Coturnix japonica: one gene and its partner. The protein of the gene in region 2 purifies or fractionates together with the protein of the main gene of each other region. This does not show direct contact. Links are inferred from orthologs where the notes say so. Each region holds a gene or a part of one and is shown on either strand. Other genes may lie near its edges.

Region 1 (4,230 bases), on a different chromosome or scaffold from region 2:
ATACACACACACAAAGAAAAACAACCCACCCAAAAAGCATGAACACCTCGAAACATTTTTCCTTTGCTTTACTATTACTATCTTGCGATTGAAGTACTTTGGTTTTGATTACATTTCACAGGGTGCTCTTCTCTAATCAACTCTTTCTAGTAGAGGATGCAACTAACCTACTGCCATTCATGCTAACTATTTTCTTAAATACCTACCTGCTTTTTTTTTTTTTTTTTTTTTTTTTTCTTCTTTTGCATACAAAATTCCCTTATCTATATAACATTAAAAACAGATTGGATGCATGTAAATATTATGGTAGAGTTCAGTTTTTCTGAATGATGATTCTGGGAGCACAAATTAAAATCTAGTAATATAGTCTCTGGATACACTTCCTTGTTGCTCAGTTTTCGCTAAGAATCAGAACATGAATTAGTTTTGTGTAAAAAATACTCACAAAGTGATCTGGACAAATCTTAAAGAACCATCTGAACATAAATTTTTATTTTTGATATTATGAAATAAAAATTTATGGTGTGTTTCAGAAATTCACAGAATCACTGAATTGTTATTTGCCTAAATTCTTATTTGCCTAAATTCTTATTCGCCTAATGATAACATAAAACATTAGAAAACAGACATAGAAAAGATCAGTTAGTTTGTATGTCACTTTTTTTAGACTTTTTATTTTCTTCATTGGTTATGGATGGTTAACATTTGACCTGTGTGGCTGCTAACTTTACTAATATACAAGCAGACTGATCCAACTATTGTAGTTTCCATTTCATTATCAGTAACTTTAAAAGACTTCTACTTTAAAAAAAGTATATTTAAGCCTCTTTCTTTTGTGCAGTTTGTTTCTACATAACCCTACAGACACTACACACTTAAGAAAGAACCAGAAGAAACTAATGGTACATATACCCACCATAATGTTCAAGTATCTAGTTCTGCATGTTTAAAAGTAGCAATGCATAAATTTAGTGATCTTTTCGTTACCATTCCATCTTGCAAGTTGAAAAGTACTTCAGCATTATTCAAGGAATAAAGTAATTACATTACATGTTCTCATTTTGCTTTCCACATCCCATTGATTTTTAAAAGTACTGGTAAATGCATTTAGGTTTTGATCTATAGCAATTGTTTCTGTTATTCCTAACAGCATTACAGGATTGAAGAATTTCAATTTCTAGGATCATAGAAGTCAAATGACTAACAAAAAACAAACTCTTAAGATGCGAAGACTGAGACAATTGTAGACACTCAGAAGCAGAGCTGTTTGAGTAAATCACAGTTCATCCCCCAAATCGAAGACTGTTCTACACGCCTATGGAAGTATGTTTTACACCAGAGCAACCCATTTTAGGAAGTTACTTAATAATTACACTAAATTCCAAAGTGAAAAAATGCTCTTGTATGCACAGAGTTTAGAAGTTCACAATGGCTAACGTGGAAAAAATTTTCCTCAACAATGAAGATACCAAAATCTCAGCTTCCTAGAGACAAACAAAAAGACGCACACACTTTCCCGCAAAACAGAGGCCTTCAACCTTTATTATTTTGCCTTTTTATGTGTTCAGTATAACTTTACATTTCGTACAGTATTTGGTGTACAAACTTTCCATGTACCAAGGGGAAGAGTAATCTGTATTAAGATTCAATTTATTACAACATCAGGACTGCTGCATTTTCACCCATGACATTTAAAAAATCTGTCAAACCATGTAGAAATAAGTATGCAAAAACTGCAAAGAAAAACATTGAAGGAGCCAAAATTAAAAAGACCTTAGTGTGAATTCTCACAGTCTTACTTGGTTTCTACTAGGCTATTGCAGCCAAGTAGTCCTTAACCTCAGTTGGAGTTAGCCTCCTAAAACCGGCTTCATTACATATGCCAACTTCAATGTTGTCTTCTGTCATTTGCCCTTCAAAGCTCTCCTATTAAAGAAAATATAGTTCAGTGAATCATTTCAATGATATTGCAAGAGTAAGATGCATATTCTTTACATGTTTTCCTAACCTTTAATGTTAAGATAGCTGTATGAATGGCATCTTCAAGCTCCAAATCTTCATTGTATCTGTAAAAAGATCACATATTTCAGCACAGTACAATCTTTCTGAATCCTACTAAGTCTAGAACTTCTACAAACTCAAACAGTATTCAAGTCTCCAAGTAGTTGTATGAACTGCTATATTAATATTCAAAACAGTTATCATTATTTAAAGAAATCACTAATGCTGCTGATACTGTGTAGAACAATGCTTTTGCAAATATATAAACACACTGCTTATTGTACTGGATTAATTAATCATATACACAAAAGTTTAACATGTTAACATGGTAATTAGAAACATCGTGTCATAAGCATTTGAAATCTTTGTACCATTAACTCAAAAGTATATATATTTATATTTTCCTGAGTCTTTTATCTGAAGCCTGGAAAAAGAGATAGTATTCTTTTAGACATTATAAAAATACACATACCTTTTCTCAAGAAATGTTTTTCCATTGACGTAATTTTTTCCCATTGCTGTTGCTTTCCAAGCAAAATAAGCTCCCTGTAAAAACAACAATCTATTGTTTTTTCTAATTCAGTCAAACATTACATATCCAGTTGTTTGGTAACAGGTACAGAAGCCATTAGAAAAATTCTGAATGTTATGCAAACATGTGAGGTTATTTTGGGTTACATTCACACTAATTTGATGTGAAAACATTTGCTATGGAAACATATAAAACACTCTTATTGGGCCTTGCTGATAAATTAGAACTGCCAATACTTTGAAAAATAGATTTAGTAAGTTGTTATCATAGTTTGATTTGGGATTCGTTGAACAGAAACTCTATCCTTGAGAATGAACAGTCAGTTCTTTCACGAGGCTCATCTCATATATAAATAAATGTATATATATATTTATAGGTATATGTATGTGTGTTTATGCACATACACAAATAAATACATGTGTATATATGCATTTCAAAAGACTTGATACACAACAGCCATCTGATTTATCTTAGCTACTACCAAGGTATTTAGCCATTGGGCCTGTTCTTTCCTGTGGCATAAAGACAATCACACCCTATCTATAGCTCAATCAAGATGCCTTACACAAGGCATTGTATTTTGTTTTTTACATTTGACCATCGGGCAGTGACTCACACTTCTGAAACTTATTGAAGATCATGAGAGTAACAGATATTTTAATATGATGAAAAGTCTGGTAACTTACATGGAAATCAACAGGTAATTTTTAGTAAAGACACTGTTGTAACACAGCAAATAAACTCACATAAACTAACCACTGCCACTAAATCTGAAAATATTTGCATCACATTTCACAGTGGAACAGACTTTGGCCTAATTTTGCTACAGCTTAGAGAATAACTATTTGAACTGCATATTTGAGGTCAAATACTTTTTCTTGGTACCTGATGCAGAATGCCAGAATGACTGTTGCTGTTACTACCAAGCAGGTAGGAAGAGATGAAAAAGGGTGGTGATGTCCTTCAAAAACTGTTGCCATTCCTCATGCAGTCATGCATAAATATGGAGGCACAGAATAAGCAAGCAGGTGTCACCCACTTCCTAAACTTCCTTTGGCACAACAGCCAAAACTCCAGGCACATTCCCAGCATGAATCATTCTGACTTCTGAATTCTGGTTAAGGAATCTTTACTTCTAGCCTTCAAACCACAAAAAGTATTTCACAAGCACATACGAAATTTTAGATATTTTACAGAAGCAGTTGAATTTACAAGTGTAAGATACTTACAGATGGATCTGACTGAAATAAGTAGGGCCGCCCCTCATTCCAGCCACATATTAGCAGTGATACACCAAATGGACGAACACCTCTACGTAAAAATAAAAAAACACCACACAAACAAAAAAAAAACAACTCAGAGCAGGCATGCTAAATTCATAAATGTATTGAATGAACACCAAAGCTGCTTTACTGCGGATGCATCAAATTTCCCCAAAGGCCTCCCACCAGCACAGAGCTGTTATCATGACTAGTCAACCAATTCAAGATATAACAACTATCTCACCCACTGCAGCTATTGGTCCTCCTACTCACCCACTTTCTATGATCATTTTCCAGTGAAAAATATCTGCGTTTTTGACATTAAAAATTAATCACCAGGTAGTTGTCATACTTTACTGTTCTAACTACCTGCAAACTTTGGAAAACCACATACCCAGACTGCGTATATTCCTGCATCACAGAAGCAATTCTTTG
Region 2 (4,351 bases):
CTGCCCCATGCTGTGAGTGCCATTCCTCATCGTCGGCTTTATGCAAACTCGGCTGGAGTCTCTGGATAGCACTGCCATCATACAAGTCATTAACAACAGCGCTAATGAGTTCCATTACGCCAGGCTGGCTGCCCAGAGCGCCCCAGGACAGCCAGGCCCCAGGAGCATAAGCCTGGGAGTCTGGGTCTCTGGCCCCAGCGCTGACAGGTGTCAGCACACAAATCTGCTTCCACTTACAATAATTCCTTTGTCACTTACAGAGAAACTGTCAATGAAGAGCTGGAGGCAGTGGGAAAAACAGGGTCGTCCCCCCACAACTGAACCCCTTTTCCTCATGCTATCAGGTTTCCTTCCAGTCACCCCCAGCTTCTCCTTCCAGTAGGGCAGGATGTTTCTAGCCGGCCCTTTTCTAGCCAAACCCACAGAGAATCAAGTCTTGCAAGAGGGAAAAAATGTGATCCCCACTGGAGAGCTGTTCTAAGGAGGACTCCCTTGGGCCGCAAGGCGCTTTGCAACAACTCCAAGGACTGTTTTTTGTCTGAAGATGTGCTTTTATCTGGAATGGCAGATGACAGGTTCTTCTTGCCCAACCAAACCAAAGACCCAAAGATGCATCTGGGAAGATCAATCCTCCAAACAGCCCGGCTTCCACTCAGGCTTTCTCCAGCTTCCCTGCTCTTGAGTGCCCCAAAAAGCCAGGAGGCTCACAATCAGGACTCGGGCATCTGTGGACTCAACTTTAAGCCTGCTGGGCTGTAAATGCAGCAGCTGGTACCATTTTAAATTAGAGACTTACATTCACTTAACGATGTATTCAGCTTTGATTTACTGAAGGAATTAGCTCATGTTAAATGAATACAGGCTGATTATTAAACAGACGCAGATTGCAACCTATCATCTAAGCAAGCGACGGGATCTTATTACAATATTAGAACCATACTGAGGTTTAGCAACTGTCAATTGCTCCTTTGCAATTTGTAATGAGGAACTGTTCCGCTGCCACCCGCACTCAGACACACTTTGCTCAATGCCTGAGCCAGACCGACTGCAGCTGTTTCAGGGAAGGTCCCTCAGTAAAGGGCAGAGCTGGGTGACACTCCCAGGACATGCAAAGCACCACCTCCCCCAGCCATACTCACCCCAAAGGGTCCAGGTCCTGCCCACCAACAGCAAAGGGATTCAAAGGAGAAGGCCTGAAACAGCACACAGTGAATAAGACTTTCAGTGAAGGGCTGACTTCGTGCAGCCTCCAGCCAGCAACACAATGACAGTCCTTGCACTTTTAGAAGGAGTATCTTGCACCCTAAGCTCAAGCAGACAGCCACCACGGTGTCTCTGACTTCCAGCCAAAGGCTTGCAGGGGAACAGAGGGGAGAACCTGTCTGCCATATACCACAGCGCTGCCTTTTCCCCTGCTGTCCCTGCTCCACCAGCCCCCAAACCCCGATGGTCCCTCAACCAATACAGAGGTAAAGTTTGTGCCAGGACCTTCAGTGGAAACCCGCTGCTCACTCACCAGGATGGTGCTCTCACGCCTGCAGGGTGCCGGGGAGGGATCCTGAGGGGGTTAAAATCCTGGGGTGAGACAGGATCCTTCTTCTCTGCCTGTGAATCCTTCTTGGCCTTCTCTGTGGGAACCCCAAGGGGAGAGATGATACTTGAAACAATCCTTGTCCTCAACTCTTCCATGTTCTTGTACACCCTGCAGGGAGGAGAAGCAGTGTGGTGGGACAGGAAGGCCATGGCACTCAGGTGCAAAGGTGCTGGACAGGGGTGGTGAGAGGACAGACATTCTTTTGGCATCCCTGGCACAAAACATGTACCCAGCTGGCACCCTAAATTTGTGCTGGAGAGAAGAGTCCTCCAGGTTCCTCTTAACCTTATCTCTGACCCCATCTGTCCCCCTCCCCATGCTGCTGAGACTTTTTCTCCTGCAGGAGATGTCAGAGAACTGAGATTACTTGTGGAAATCATTCAGGTGCTCTGGGTTGATGTAGTCAGCCACCGCCAAGGTCACGTCTGCCACCTTCTGCGAAGCACGATCCTAGTAAAGACAGGAGAAGCATGATGTTAGCAGCCAGGCAGAGGGCCATCCCTATGGGACAAATGATGCAGGAAGGCAGAACAAGTAGCAGCAAAACATTTAAGAAACTGGCTCTACTGTTCTTCGCATGTTGGACAGTAGCAGACACTGCATCTGAAAGGACTCTAATTCCTGCAGCAATCAGTTTGGGTGCTCACCATGACATTGAGGATCATGCTGTCATCCACCACAACGGCCTTCAGCAGCAGTTCCCGGGCATCATCTGTGGACTTGTAGCGCAGTGTATACACCTCCTTATTGGTTTCCCAGCCAGCAGGCAGCAGCTCTGACTTCCTTTCATCAGGACCTGGCTACAGGAAGACAAACAGGGCAGTAAGACCTGCTAGCAGCTAGAACAGGAGGGCACACAACCACACCTTGCTGAGCTGAAGGCAACAAAGACCCCAAGCAGGAGACGGTGCTCTCTATCACTCATCACACCCATAGCTCCCAAGCATTGGGGGGCTGTCTGGGAGACTTTACTGCCAAAACAGTGCAGTGCAGCCCAATACAACCCCCCAGCACCACCCCAGGCTCCCCACCCCCTATCTGAGCTCTGGTACCCCTGTAACAACAGCCTCCCCAAAGCACCAAACCCCAACAACACATCGCAGCCGCATCGTTGGCCGGTACCGGGACAATCCATAGGGCCCATCCACAGGGCCCACAAGTCCTTCCCTCCGGCAGCAGCTGCCGGGTTGGGCCGCGCGGTGGCGGCGTGAGTCGCTAGGAAAGGCCGAGGATCGGCGCGGCCTAGCGGGGCCCAGAAGCGGTGCTGCCCGCCCCGTACCTGCTCTCCGGCGCCGAGGCAGCGGTAGCCGTGCTGGATCAGCTCCCAATGGATGCCGCAAACCAACGCATCCTGCGGGCAGGAGATGCCGGCTTGAGCCGAGCAATACAGCAGCTCCAGCCCCGCCATGGCCGCTCCGCTCCGCACCGAGCAGGCGCGGCCAGACTAGGCCGGGCCGGGCCGGGCCCTCCCCTTAACGCCGAGCCAGGCCGGGCCGGAGCCGCGTCCCCGGGCTGAGCCGGGCCGGCCCTCACTAGGGGGCTCCCGTCTGCTGCGCAGCGACCGGAGGAGGCCGCGGGGATGGGGTGGTGAATTGAAATGGCCGCCGGGGGCGGGGGGAGGTGGGGAGAGGAGGTGTTTGTATTGCTGGGCTGCCCCGCTGCTCCCCTTGCAGGCGGCGTGTTGGATGTGGCAGGGCTCGCTGCTGTCCATGGGCTGGTTCCTGCCCTGCTTCTGCTCGCTAAACCCAGGCTCTTTCTCACCTATAGCATTACGACCTGAACATTTACTGCCCCAGTTAGTAAAAGTCTAAAAAACCTGCATCTGTGCTCACATGCACCCCTGTACTGAGCGCTTCCCTTGTTACCTGCACGGCAATGAGCCACTGTCTGGATAAAGGAGCCCTGTGCCAAGGAAAGGCATCATCTGCTGCTTTCCCAATCTCATCTCCAGCTCCTTGGGGATGCTCTGATTCATATTGACTTCACCGTGCGTCTATTAATTAACTTGCACTGTCCACTCTTTCCATTTCCCCCTCAAGAAGTCACTGAAGCTGAACAACTGACCGCAGCCCGTCCTGCTGCTCAGCACTGAATCCCGTGAATCATCTCCCTGGTGGCTGTGGAAACGTTGCACCTCTTGCGAATGGAGTCCCAGCTCCATGGAAGACCTTTGTGGTATGAGATGGTATGACAGAGCCATGCAGGGTGAGCCTGCACTGACTTTCTGGCTCCATTTTGTTGGACAGATTTAACCAGGATGAGGTTAAATGCAGTGCTGATCCCAGCCTTGCATCAACCTGGGGTCTCCTTCTGCAGTCAGGGTCTGCACGAGACCTGACATCTGCACTGCAACTTCATTTATTTTCCCTTCCTCATATCAAAAGTGCTTCCAGCTCCGTGCAGGCACCAGCAAGAGCTGATGGGTCTTCCCATCTACATCTTCCTGCCCAGAGGCCACGTTCCCACCACAGCTGTGCCCATGCCTCATTGCTATTAAACTGAAGCTGCATTTGCAGAGACTGTGTTGCCCCACTGCCACTGCCTGGTCCACTCAGTTCCTGTCCCAGCATCTGGCTTGCTCTGTGGCTCTTTGGTGCTGAAAACCGCTGGCCAAATGCAAGTAGTTCCCCTCACACCAGTCCTGCAGCCTGCAAACAAAGTGGGAGGCAGCGGGCAGCACAGCTGGGACTGGCAGCCACATCCTTAACGAGGTGACGAGGGTTGCAGGGCCGGCTCATTAGTGCTGCAAGGCAAGCG

The links.
Region 1: the proteins of PSMF1 (region 2) and PSMA2 purify together in Homo sapiens (affinity purification with mass spectrometry; 3 studies listed by BioGRID and IntAct, with this or other methods). This does not show direct contact. The link is inferred for Coturnix japonica from reciprocal best matches to the Homo sapiens genes PSMF1 and PSMA2.

Annotation. Positions count from the first base shown.
Region 1 is NC_029517.1:74,583,176-74,587,405, reverse strand, and holds the end of PSMA2 (proteasome subunit alpha type-2), read right to left. Parts: coding exon 4,190-4,230; intron 3,845-4,189; coding exon 3,763-3,844; intron 2,548-3,762; coding exon 2,474-2,547; intron 2,067-2,473; coding exon 2,009-2,066; intron 1,927-2,008; coding exon 1,810-1,926; 3' UTR 643-1,809; downstream 1-642.
Region 2 is NC_029535.1:9,160,936-9,165,286, reverse strand, and holds the start of PSMF1 (proteasome inhibitor PI31 subunit), read right to left. Parts: upstream 3,096-4,351; 5' UTR 3,003-3,095; coding exon 2,874-3,002; intron 2,395-2,873; coding exon 2,242-2,394; intron 2,045-2,241; coding exon 1,962-2,044; intron 1,703-1,961; coding exon 1,517-1,702; intron 1,194-1,516; coding exon 1,140-1,193; intron 1-1,139. UniProt on the Homo sapiens protein: Plays an important role in control of proteasome function. Inhibits the hydrolysis of protein and peptide substrates by the 20S proteasome. Also inhibits the activation of the proteasome by the proteasome regulatory proteins PA700 and PA28.